Linked DNA regions of Saccharomyces cerevisiae S288C. Changing the gene in region 1 together with any one later gene gives a genetic interaction. Each region holds a gene or a part of one and is shown in the gene's direction. Other genes may lie near its edges.

Region 1 (3,344 bases):
ACCCCGAAAAAGAAGCACAGCTTTATAAAAAGACCGTATTAATTTGCTTTATTGGGTAATAACGGGGCATTCGGGACATACAATCATACGCTAGATGCTGCGTGTAATAATTAACATTGTAAATCCCTATCTTTTTTTTTTATATAAGTAGAGTACTTTAAAAAGAGTGGACGACTGAGTTCATATACAAGCAGACGCCCTTTCATTTAATCTCAATCTTGTTTCAGGCCGGCTTTTGTCCATAACTGCTACGCTGCGTAAAAAAAAAATAAGAGAAATTGAAAAATATGGGCGTCGTCTAAGGATGGTAACTAGCTTCATTATACTATGGGTCTTCCTTCTTTTCCAACGCTTCCACTTTGACCTCAATCTCTTCTCGATGGCCTAAGGTAGCAAGGTTGTGTTAAAAAAAACAAATACATCAGAGCAAGACACTTTTGGGTTTATTAGGTATTATAGGTATAGGTCAATTAATTTCTTATCTTTTGTTGAGAGGATAAGGGTAATATTAGCGACCCTTAAGTAATTTTTGTTCTGTTTTACTTCAGTTTAATAAAAGCGACTGCCGCCGACCTTACTCCCTTTTTTTTATTATGCTCCTCGAGACAAGGTCGCTTAAAAAAAAAAAAAAGCTTAGTCAGACATGCAATCAGCGCAATTTATGGAAGCTGGAAAGGGGGGCCGCATTTTATGCACTATCTCTTGAATTCAAAAAGTAATTCAGGCCAAATTAACTAAGGATGCAAATGAAGCGAGTACTGAACGAATAGTCATGTTCTGAATTTCAAGCATTCAAATTTTGCTTTTCAGCGCTGTTCATCTTAGCGCTTACCATAAAGAGGAATACGTAATTCAACAACGGAGTTGAAAAATTTTTAAAATCGTGCCGGTGTTAGTGAGAAGAGGATGGAGGGAATTAATACTTCGATGGAAGATGCAACTTGCAAATGTAGTCCGGTTACCAAGAGACCCAAACCTCTTCCACTTTACTATTTCTCCTTTGAGAAATATATCAGTTTGCGGTAATAGGTAATATGAAAAAGGCAATAAAAAAAAGAGATACTTGTCACCATCTCGTCTCCCTTTACCTTTTTTACTTAATCTTCTTCGTCGTCATCTGTTCCATCCCTTTCCTAGCTTAGTCTTCTCCGGCTAGTTCTTAGTGCGGTGAGCAAAAAAAATAGCGTTTTTTTTCCCTCACCAGGACTTTTTTTGTTAACCGAAAATCGGCATCTCTAGTTTTCCTGGACAAAAAAGGCAAAATGGAAATAAACACTCATACGAATCAGTAAAGATGTAAATAATCGCAGTAACGACTGCACAAGGATGTCAGAAAAAGCAGTTTAATTCCAGAAGTGGTTTTCCAATTTATCACACATGTACATGAAGGGAAATGTATAAATACGGTCTTCGTAAAACAAAGGATCTCTTCACCTGGTTTCTTCATTTATAAGTAGTGTCTTTTTCGGTAACTTAAGATATATCCTTATTTCTTTCCCACTTCTCGTTATTTCTTCTTTTTCCCTTTTCAAGTTCTTCTTTTTATTTATTATTAAGCTTATTTTAATTCTTAGATCGTTGTCACTATCTTTTGTCCTTATTGTTAAGAAACATTGCGAAGAAAAAGAATAATAAAAGAAACTCAGAAAAAAAAAAAGTTTCCTCGAACAAAAATATTATTATTTCAATAACTTTTTCTTTCTCTACATCCAATTTTTTGACCCTATTTTAACATTAATTTTTTGCTTTAATTTTAACTAATACCTAATTTCACTTAATATCTAATCATCTTCCTTTAACCCACAGAACAAAGAAGAAAAATAACAATGTCTACCTTTGAAACTTTAATTAAAAGAGGTGGTAACGAAGCCATCAAAATTAACCCTCCAACCGGTGCGGATTTCCACATCACTAGTCGTGGTTCCGATTGGTTCTGGACATGTTTCTGTTGTTACCTATTATTTGGTTTAATTTTAACATTCTTAATGTTCAGAAAACCAGTCAATGACAGATTCTTTTACCTTACCGGTATTGCTCCAAACTTTTTCATGTGTATCGCTTATTTCACCATGGCTTCTAACTTAGGTTGGATTCCAGTCAAGGCTAAGTACAACCATGTCCAAACTTCTACTCAAAAAGAACATCCAGGTTACAGACAAATCTTCTACTCTAGATTCGTTGGTTGGTTCTTAGCTTTGCCATGGCCAATTATTCAAATCTGTATGCTAGCTGGTACCCCATTCTGGCAAATGGCTTTCAATGTTTGTATTACTGAATTCTTCACTGTTTGTTGGTTGATCGCTGCCTGTGTTCACTCCACTTACAAATGGGGTTACTACACCATCGGTCTAGGTGCTGCTATTGTCGTTAGTATCAGTGTTATGACCACCAGTTACAACTTGGTGAAACAAAGAGATAACGATATCAGGTTGACATTCCTTGTTTTCTTCAGCATTATTATGTTCTTGTGGATTATTGCTTACCCAACTTGTTTCGGTATTACCGATGGTGGTAACGTTTTGCAGCCAGACTCTGCCGGTATTTTCTATGGTATCATTGATCTTATTTTGATGTGTTTCATTCCAACTTTATTGGTTCCAATTGCTAACCACTTCGGTGCTGACAAATTGGGCTACCATTTCGGACCTAGTGATGCCGAAGCAGTGATGGCTCCAAAAGCTCCAGTTGCTAGTCCAAGACCTGCTGCTACACCAAACTTGAGTAAGGACAAGAAAAAGAAGTCTAAGAAGAGCAAGAAATCTAAGAAGTCTAAGAAGTCTGAAGAATAAGCCAATCGTCATGTCAATTATGTGCTACTTTCTTCTTTCTTTCAATCATCTTTGAAGAATTTTCTACTTCAAGCCAATCCTATAAATGGATAAAACTGTCTTTATTGATTATTTGACAAGATTATTTTACTCCATCTTCAACTTTTATCATATTTTATTTTATTTTCCTGACGTTTCAATATTTTCGTTCGTTAAATTATCACCATTTCTTGTCGAATTTTTATTTTCTATCATAAAGTGCAATTCTAGACTCATTTTTTAATTTAATGGATCCATTTAATCCATTTCGTCAAGCAAGTATGTTTTCATAACAATATTTTGCTCAGTGCATTTTGATCAAGAAACGTATAGTTGATGATTAGAAACGAGCTTTTTTATGCCCATCGTCATCTATATATATATTTGTATCACTTTAATAGTTATTTTAATATTTGATAACAACCTTTCTAATAGTATTGTTATGGAAGGTTTAGTGCTGGAGGAAAAAAAAGAAAGATAAAGGCACGGTGCCTGCTTTGCGCGGCATTCTCGAGAAAAATAGTTCTCGGACTTTTG
Region 2 (3,837 bases), on another chromosome or scaffold:
AAGGTTTATTTCTTTCTTCTTTAATGTTCTTGGCACTTAGGCGGCTCCGTCCTCCGTCTGAAATTGCCGATCCTATTATTTGCGGAGGGCTCCTTAGAAGGGCTCCTTAGTAAGCAGTTTGCGTTCCTGATATAACTCCGTTCAGAACAAGGATAAAGTCGCAATAACCATTACTAAGCACAGTGTTGTAAGTAGGACAACTCGAACCTATATAAGGGTTGTGAACTGTGCTTGATTCTTGCCCATCATATGCAAAAAAGTACGTACTTGATATATACAACAACTGTAGTTCAGTATAGCGAAGTTTAAATTTAGAAGATGCCATTTGTAAAAGGTTTTGAGCCGATCTCCCTAAGAGACACAAACCTTTTTGAACCAATTAAGATTGGTAACACTCAGCTTGCACATCGTGCGGTTATGCCCCCATTGACCAGAATGAGGGCCACTCACCCCGGAAATATTCCAAATAAGGAGTGGGCTGCTGTGTATTATGGTCAGCGTGCTCAAAGACCTGGTACCATGATCATCACGGAAGGTACGTTTATTTCCCCTCAAGCCGGCGGCTATGACAACGCCCCTGGGATTTGGTCTGATGAGCAGGTCGCTGAGTGGAAGAATATCTTTTTAGCCATCCATGATTGTCAGTCGTTCGCGTGGGTACAACTTTGGTCTTTAGGCTGGGCATCCTTCCCAGACGTATTGGCAAGAGACGGGTTACGCTATGACTGTGCATCTGACAGAGTGTATATGAATGCTACGTTACAAGAAAAGGCCAAAGATGCGAATAATCTCGAACATAGTTTGACTAAAGACGACATTAAACAGTATATCAAGGATTACATCCATGCGGCTAAGAATTCTATCGCGGCTGGCGCCGATGGTGTAGAAATTCATAGCGCCAATGGGTACTTGTTGAATCAGTTCTTGGATCCACATTCTAATAAGAGGACCGACGAATACGGCGGAACGATCGAAAACAGGGCCCGCTTTACACTGGAGGTTGTCGATGCTCTTATCGAAACTATCGGTCCTGAACGGGTGGGTTTGAGGTTGTCGCCGTACGGCACTTTTAACAGTATGTCTGGGGGTGCTGAACCAGGTATTATCGCTCAATATTCGTATGTTTTGGGTGAATTAGAGAAGAGGGCAAAGGCTGGTAAGCGTTTGGCCTTTGTGCACCTCGTTGAACCACGTGTCACGGACCCATCGTTGGTGGAGGGCGAAGGAGAATATTCCGAGGGTACTAACGATTTTGCCTACTCTATATGGAAGGGTCCAATCATCAGAGCTGGTAATTACGCTCTTCATCCAGAAGTGGTTAGAGAACAAGTAAAGGATCCCAGAACCTTGATAGGCTATGGTAGATTCTTCATCTCTAACCCAGATTTAGTCTACCGTTTAGAAGAGGGCCTGCCATTGAACAAGTATGACAGAAGTACCTTCTACACCATGTCCGCGGAAGGTTATACCGACTACCCAACATATGAAGAGGCAGTAGATTTAGGTTGGAACAAGAACTGAAATCATGAATAAAGACATTGATGTTATGTATTTTTCATATTCCTGCCATATTTTTAATTACAAAACTCACATATAGATATTTATATTTGATACATCAATAATTATAACTTAAGGAAATAAAGATAGTTTTTGTCTTCACTTTTTAAAGTATTTTAAACATCATCCAAGCCAAAAAGACTCGATCTTTGTTTATATAGGGCAGCTTTCTCGTGCCCGCGCGCTGTTCAAAGGGAATAATAAAATGACTTTTTTATGCTTGCAAGCCCATTGACGTAAATCCACCGCAAGTGAGATTAATCAAAGAAGAAAATTCTTGATATCTGCAATAGACGTGATTCGGGCGTGATTAATATTCCTCATAGCGGGGTCTTTTTATTTTAGGCCTATAGTATCTCTTTTTTTCGATTTCTCCTTTTTTCCTCTTTAGATGAGTTACTTTCCTCGAACATATGCTCACTTGATGAGAAATGTTCTTGCTCATAATAAAGGGAATATATACTTACAAATTGGTACACAGCTGCACGATACTCAAATAAAAATTCGATTTAATGGAGTTCGTTATATTAGTCGGAATCATGGCGGGAAACAGCAACATATAAACACTGCGCCGATAGAATTTACTCCCAATTTTGGATATGGTGATAGAACCTCTAATTGCAATAAAAAGGTTGAATCGACTGCCATGAAAACGCTAAGATGCACAGATGATATATCAACTTCAAGTGGAAGCGAAGCTACTACCGATGCAAGCACACAACTTCCATTTAATGTCAAACTTGTAGACCCGATGGTAAGAAAATCTAAGAGACCATCTCACGCAATCAGCGAAGGGCTGAATATGAAAACTTTAAAGAAGAAGGTAATTATGCCATATCTTCAGTTGACCAAGCCCCGACTCACCATTCTAGTGATGTTAAGTGCCATTTGTTCGTATGCTTTATCTCCATATCCAGCCTCCGTCAATGAATTGTTATGTTTAACAGTAGGCACTACTTTGTGTTCCGGTTCTGCAAACGCTATAAATATGGGCAGAGAGCCAGAATTTGATAGACAAATGGTGAGAACTCAGGCGAGGCCCGTTGTTAGAGGTGATGTTACACCTACCCAGGCATTCGAGTTTGCCGCACTTATCGGAACATTAGGAGTATCTATCTTGTACTTTGGTGTTAATCCTACCGTTGCTATTCTTGGTGCTTCAAATATCGCGTTATATGGCTGGGCCTATACGTCTATGAAAAGAAAGCATATCATTAACACATGGTTAGGTGCCCTAGTAGGAATGGTACCTCCTCTAATGGGATGGGCAGCCGCAAGTCCGCTTTCACATCCGGGATCTTGGTGCCTTGCTGGTCTATTGTTTGCTTGGCAATTCCCACACTTTAATACGTTGAGTCATAACATTAGAAATGAATACAAAAATGCCGGATACGTTATGACTGCATGGAAAAATCCGCTCCTAAACGCCCGTGTGTCGTTGAGATACTCTATCCTAATGTTCCCTTTATGTTTCGGATTGTCTTATTTTAATATCACAGATTGGTACTACCAAATAGATTCCGGACTTATAAATGCCTGGCTAACGTTCTGGGCTTTCAAATTCTATTGGCAACAAAGAATCAACTATTCTGCAAAAACATTAAAAGATAACGTCAAGTTTAATAAAGGTCTAAGTGTAGCCAACATTTATGCAAGGAAAACTTTTATGGCTAGTGTATTGCACCTACCGGCAATTCTAATCCTAGCCATTATACATAAAAAAGGCCGCTGGGATTGGATATATCCTGGTGAAGCAAAGCGACCACAGGAACGATTTTAGCATTAGTACAATGAGATAAAGAGACAACGCTTAAAGGGCAGTCATTAATCTTGTAAATAAATATTTAAACCCTTTTATTGGTTAAAAATAATGTACATACGCACATAATTTATTTTTAAAGAAAAGATTTTGTAATTTGAAGTCATCACGTTTGCCCACATCAATATCTGAATATTCTTTGAACTTTACTTTATGCTTTCATATATACAGGTCGAATATAACTTATTTACTACGTGAATAGTGAAGGGGATATACTGATTAAAAAAATCACACTAGAGAATCAAATATAAAAATAGAGTGCATACACTTGGTACATTTATTCTCTTTTTTGTTTTTCCAAAAATTCAAAAACCCTCGCCCCAATAGCTTCCATGTCCTCTTCAGTTAGTTTTGGTACTTCTCTCTCAGCCAACTCCTTTTTTTCTGCCAAATGGCTTTTTCTTACCTCTGTTAGGGGCATCTCAGGTGCTACTAGCTTAGCTATATCTTTCGCTGTCAAG
Region 3 (3,906 bases), on another chromosome or scaffold:
GTCACCTCTACACTTTCGAGTACAACATCGTCCAATCCAACTACTACCTCCCTAAGTTCGACATCTACATCTCCAAGCTCTACATCTACATCTCCAAGCTCTACATCTACCTCATCAAGTTCGACATCTACCTCATCAAGTTCGACATCTACCTCATCAAGTTCGACATCTACATCTCCAAGTTCGACATCCACATCTTCAAGTTTGACATCCACATCTTCAAGTTCTACATCTACATCCCAAAGTTCTACATCTACCTCATCAAGTTCGACATCTACATCTCCAAGCTCTACATCTACCTCATCAAGTTCAACATCTACATCTCCAAGTTCTAAATCTACTTCTGCAAGCTCCACTTCCACTTCTTCATATTCAACATCTACATCCCCAAGTTTGACTTCTTCATCTCCAACTTTGGCTTCCACTTCTCCAAGTTCAACATCTATTAGCTCTACTTTTACTGATTCAACTTCATCCCTTGGCTCCTCTATAGCATCTTCATCAACGTCTGTGTCATTATACAGCCCATCCACACCTGTTTACTCCGTCCCTTCGACTTCGTCAAATGTTGCAACTCCTTCTATGACTTCTTCAACTGTTGAAACAACTGTTAGTTCACAAAGTTCGTCTGAATATATCACCAAATCCTCAATTTCTACTACTATCCCATCATTTTCCATGTCTACATATTTCACCACTGTTAGTGGAGTCACTACAATGTATACGACATGGTGTCCTTATAGCTCTGAATCTGAGACTAGCACATTAACCAGTATGCATGAAACGGTTACAACAGACGCTACAGTCTGCACTCACGAGTCTTGCATGCCCTCGCAGACAACAAGTTTGATTACATCTTCTATAAAAATGTCCACTAAAAACGTCGCAACTTCTGTAAGCACCTCAACGGTTGAATCCTCATATGCATGCTCCACATGTGCTGAAACGTCACACTCGTATTCTTCCGTGCAAACAGCTTCATCAAGTTCTGTAACACAGCAGACCACATCCACAAAGAGTTGGGTAAGTTCAATGACAACTTCGGATGAAGATTTCAATAAGCACGCTACCGGTAAGTATCATGTAACATCTTCAGGTACCTCAACCATTTCGACTAGTGTAAGTGAAGCCACGAGTACATCAAGCATTGACTCAGAATCTCAAGAACAATCATCACACTTATTATCGACATCGGTCCTTTCATCCTCCTCCTTGTCTGCTACATTATCCTCTGACAGTACTATTTTGCTATTCAGTTCTGTATCATCACTAAGTGTCGAACAGTCACCAGTTACCACACTTCAAATTTCTTCAACATCAGAGATTTTACAACCCACTTCTTCCACAGCTATTGCTACAATATCTGCCTCTACATCATCACTTTCCGCAACATCTATCTCTACACCATCTACCTCTGTGGAATCGACTATTGAATCTTCATCATTGACTCCGACGGTATCTTCTATTTTCCTCTCATCATCATCTGCTCCCTCTTCTCTACAAACATCTGTTACCACTACAGAAGTTTCCACTACTTCAATCTCCATACAATACCAAACTTCATCAATGGTAACAATTAGCCAATATATGGGCAGTGGATCGCAAACGCGTTTGCCATTAGGAAAGTTGGTCTTCGCCATCATGGCAGTTGCTTGCAATGTAATTTTCAGTTAATATCAGAACAATTTAATTCATTTATATAAACATATACAATCAATCGAATAAAAATACAACAATGTAATGAAAACGCTCTCTATTGATATGTATTTGCTGACGCTTATAAATTTATTAAAGTTTTATTTTAAACCGTTCTAGTGACTTCACGCGGGGAGATACATCCAATAGTAAATTACAAAATAAGGAAAGTATAAAACAAACGGATAACAACAGTAGCTTGGAGACAGCAAAGGCACCCGAGCAGGCGTGGAAACACACGATGCATTTGAAAAAGGGGAAGAGGAGTATTAGCACAGTATGGCGACTTTTATGGAAGCGTTTTTATTCCGTAAACTCTAAGACGAATATGCATTTTTCTCGAAGTAGGAAGAAACCAGTGACAAACTTCACAAGGACAAACGGACTTCTCCTGAGCTGTAATGGTGATACATTCCCATATCTGCGTACACTGTGGAGATACTTCAATGCGCCTGGTAATTTGATGTTTGTCACAACTAATATTGTCGCATTTATGGGCATTGTTACGTATAATACGCTGGTTACTATCAGCAGTGAAAGAGCATTCGAAGAGCAGATGATGGCGGCACAGGTGAGCCTGGCGAAACAGAGAGAAGAGCTCGAGACTACGGCCCTCAGCTTGCCACGAGATATTGAATTGAGGGGTGAAGAAGATGATATTAAATGGGAGCAACCTGATGTAGCACATGTCCGGGAAGATCCCTTAGTCGAGGAGCAGAACGCAAAGTTAGACACCCCTATAAAACAGTATACTTTAGGAGATTTGATTTTGAATAAGAGGGAAAATGTCACTGATTATGACTCGCAGCGTGCGAAGGCATCTATATTCCACATGCTATATGCTTATATGCTGTATCGAGATGTTATTCAACCCACGACCATGACTCAAAATAACAACAGCGAGGAATGGCGGCGTGAAGTCGAGCTTTTGACTAAGGGAAAAGAGGTACAAGGTACTCATCGAAGGATAGACGTGTTCTACGACCTGTGGAATAAAAATTTCGATAAGATAGTGACATCACCTGAGAAAGTGCAGAATTTTCAACTGCCGAACTGGTCTAAATACCCAACGATATTGAAATTCATCTGCACAGAACTTCACGACAACAGTTTGAAGACCTTGGGTGAGTTTAAGCAATTCTATGGAAAGGTGCGATCTAACGAGGTAAAAAAACTGTTGGGTCTTTGGCTGTACGACCATTCCTTCCTTTTCCCCCATAATATCTACGACAACAGAACCGAAGAAGATTTTTACGATATATTAATTAATGACTCCATGCAGGATAACAGGATATTCCAGAAATACTCTTCAATTGTAATGAATCCCTACAACGAACGTACTCAACTTTTTTTCCCTAATGTAAATTCTCCATCTGTCAACAAGCCAGTACCGAGCATATCTCTGGAAACATACACACGACTACTCAAGGGATATATCAACTTGCAAGAAACAGGCTGCAAATACGACTATAATGACAATATATTCAAACTAATCAGCATCCTCAAACTAAATTGTTTCCTACAACGCAACAAGAAGAAACACGCAGGGCCAACCGTCAGAATCCTACTGCCGAGAGATGAAGACCGCTCTCAAATACTTGGTACCATTTCGCAGGCAGAGAAGAGAACCTGTTATCAAATTCTAAGCAAAAATAGGGACGTGGTTGCGCTGCTGAAACGCATTTCTGATATCCAGGCGGACTCTTCTTAATAAAACATGTAAATATGTACCTCCCAAATCACACTCATCATCTCATACGAAACTGTATCTTTTTGGGTAAAATTTTCATCGATGAGCTTTAAAAGCAAAACTACTTCACCAGCAATGAAGCTACTGTAGCATCCTATGATCTCTTCGGCTCTACACATCATATTACTAGCCTAGTCAACATGAAGTTCTTAACCACCAACTTCCTAAAGTGCTCCGTTAAAGCCTGTGACACCAGCAACGACAACTTCCCCCTACAGTACGACGGCAGCAAATGCCAATTGGTACAGGATGAATCTATCGAGTTCAATCCAGAATTCCTTCTGAACATAGTCGACCGCGTAGACTGGCCTGCAGTGCTCACGGTTGCTGCCGAATTGGGAAACAACGCCTTACCTCCTACCAAACCATCCTTCCCATCTTCGATCCAGGAGCTCACCGATGACGACATGGCCATCCTTAATGACTTGCATACTTTACTGCTACAGACGTCCATTGCCGAA

What was found.
Region 2: mutations in MRH1 (region 1) and COX10 together harm fitness more than expected from each alone (negative genetic interaction), as found in Saccharomyces cerevisiae (2 studies listed by BioGRID).
Region 3: mutations in MRH1 (region 1) and PET494 together harm fitness more than expected from each alone (negative genetic interaction), as found in Saccharomyces cerevisiae (one large-scale study listed by BioGRID).

What each region holds. Positions count from the first base shown.
Region 1 is NC_001136.10:506,321-509,664, forward strand, and holds MRH1 (Mrh1p), read left to right. Parts: upstream 1-1,826; coding exon 1,827-2,789; downstream 2,790-3,344.
Region 2 is NC_001148.4:223,853-227,689, reverse strand, and holds COX10 (protoheme IX farnesyltransferase), read left to right. Parts: upstream 1-1,948; coding exon 1,949-3,337; downstream 3,338-3,837. Other genes in the region: OYE3 (NADPH dehydrogenase), read left to right, coding at 319-1,521; mitochondrial 54S ribosomal protein uL24m MRPL40, read right to left, coding at 3,654-3,837. UniProt on the Saccharomyces cerevisiae protein: Catalyzes the first reaction in the biosynthesis of heme A, a prosthetic group of mitochondrial cytochrome c oxidase (CcO).
Region 3 is NC_001146.8:704,203-708,108, forward strand, and holds PET494 (Pet494p), read left to right. Parts: upstream 1-1,936; coding exon 1,937-3,406; downstream 3,407-3,906. Other genes in the region: AGA1 (Aga1p), read left to right, coding at 1-1,674; RNA methylation protein TRM112, read left to right, coding at 3,586-3,906. UniProt on the Saccharomyces cerevisiae protein: Required for the expression of the mitochondrial gene for cytochrome c oxidase subunit III (COX3).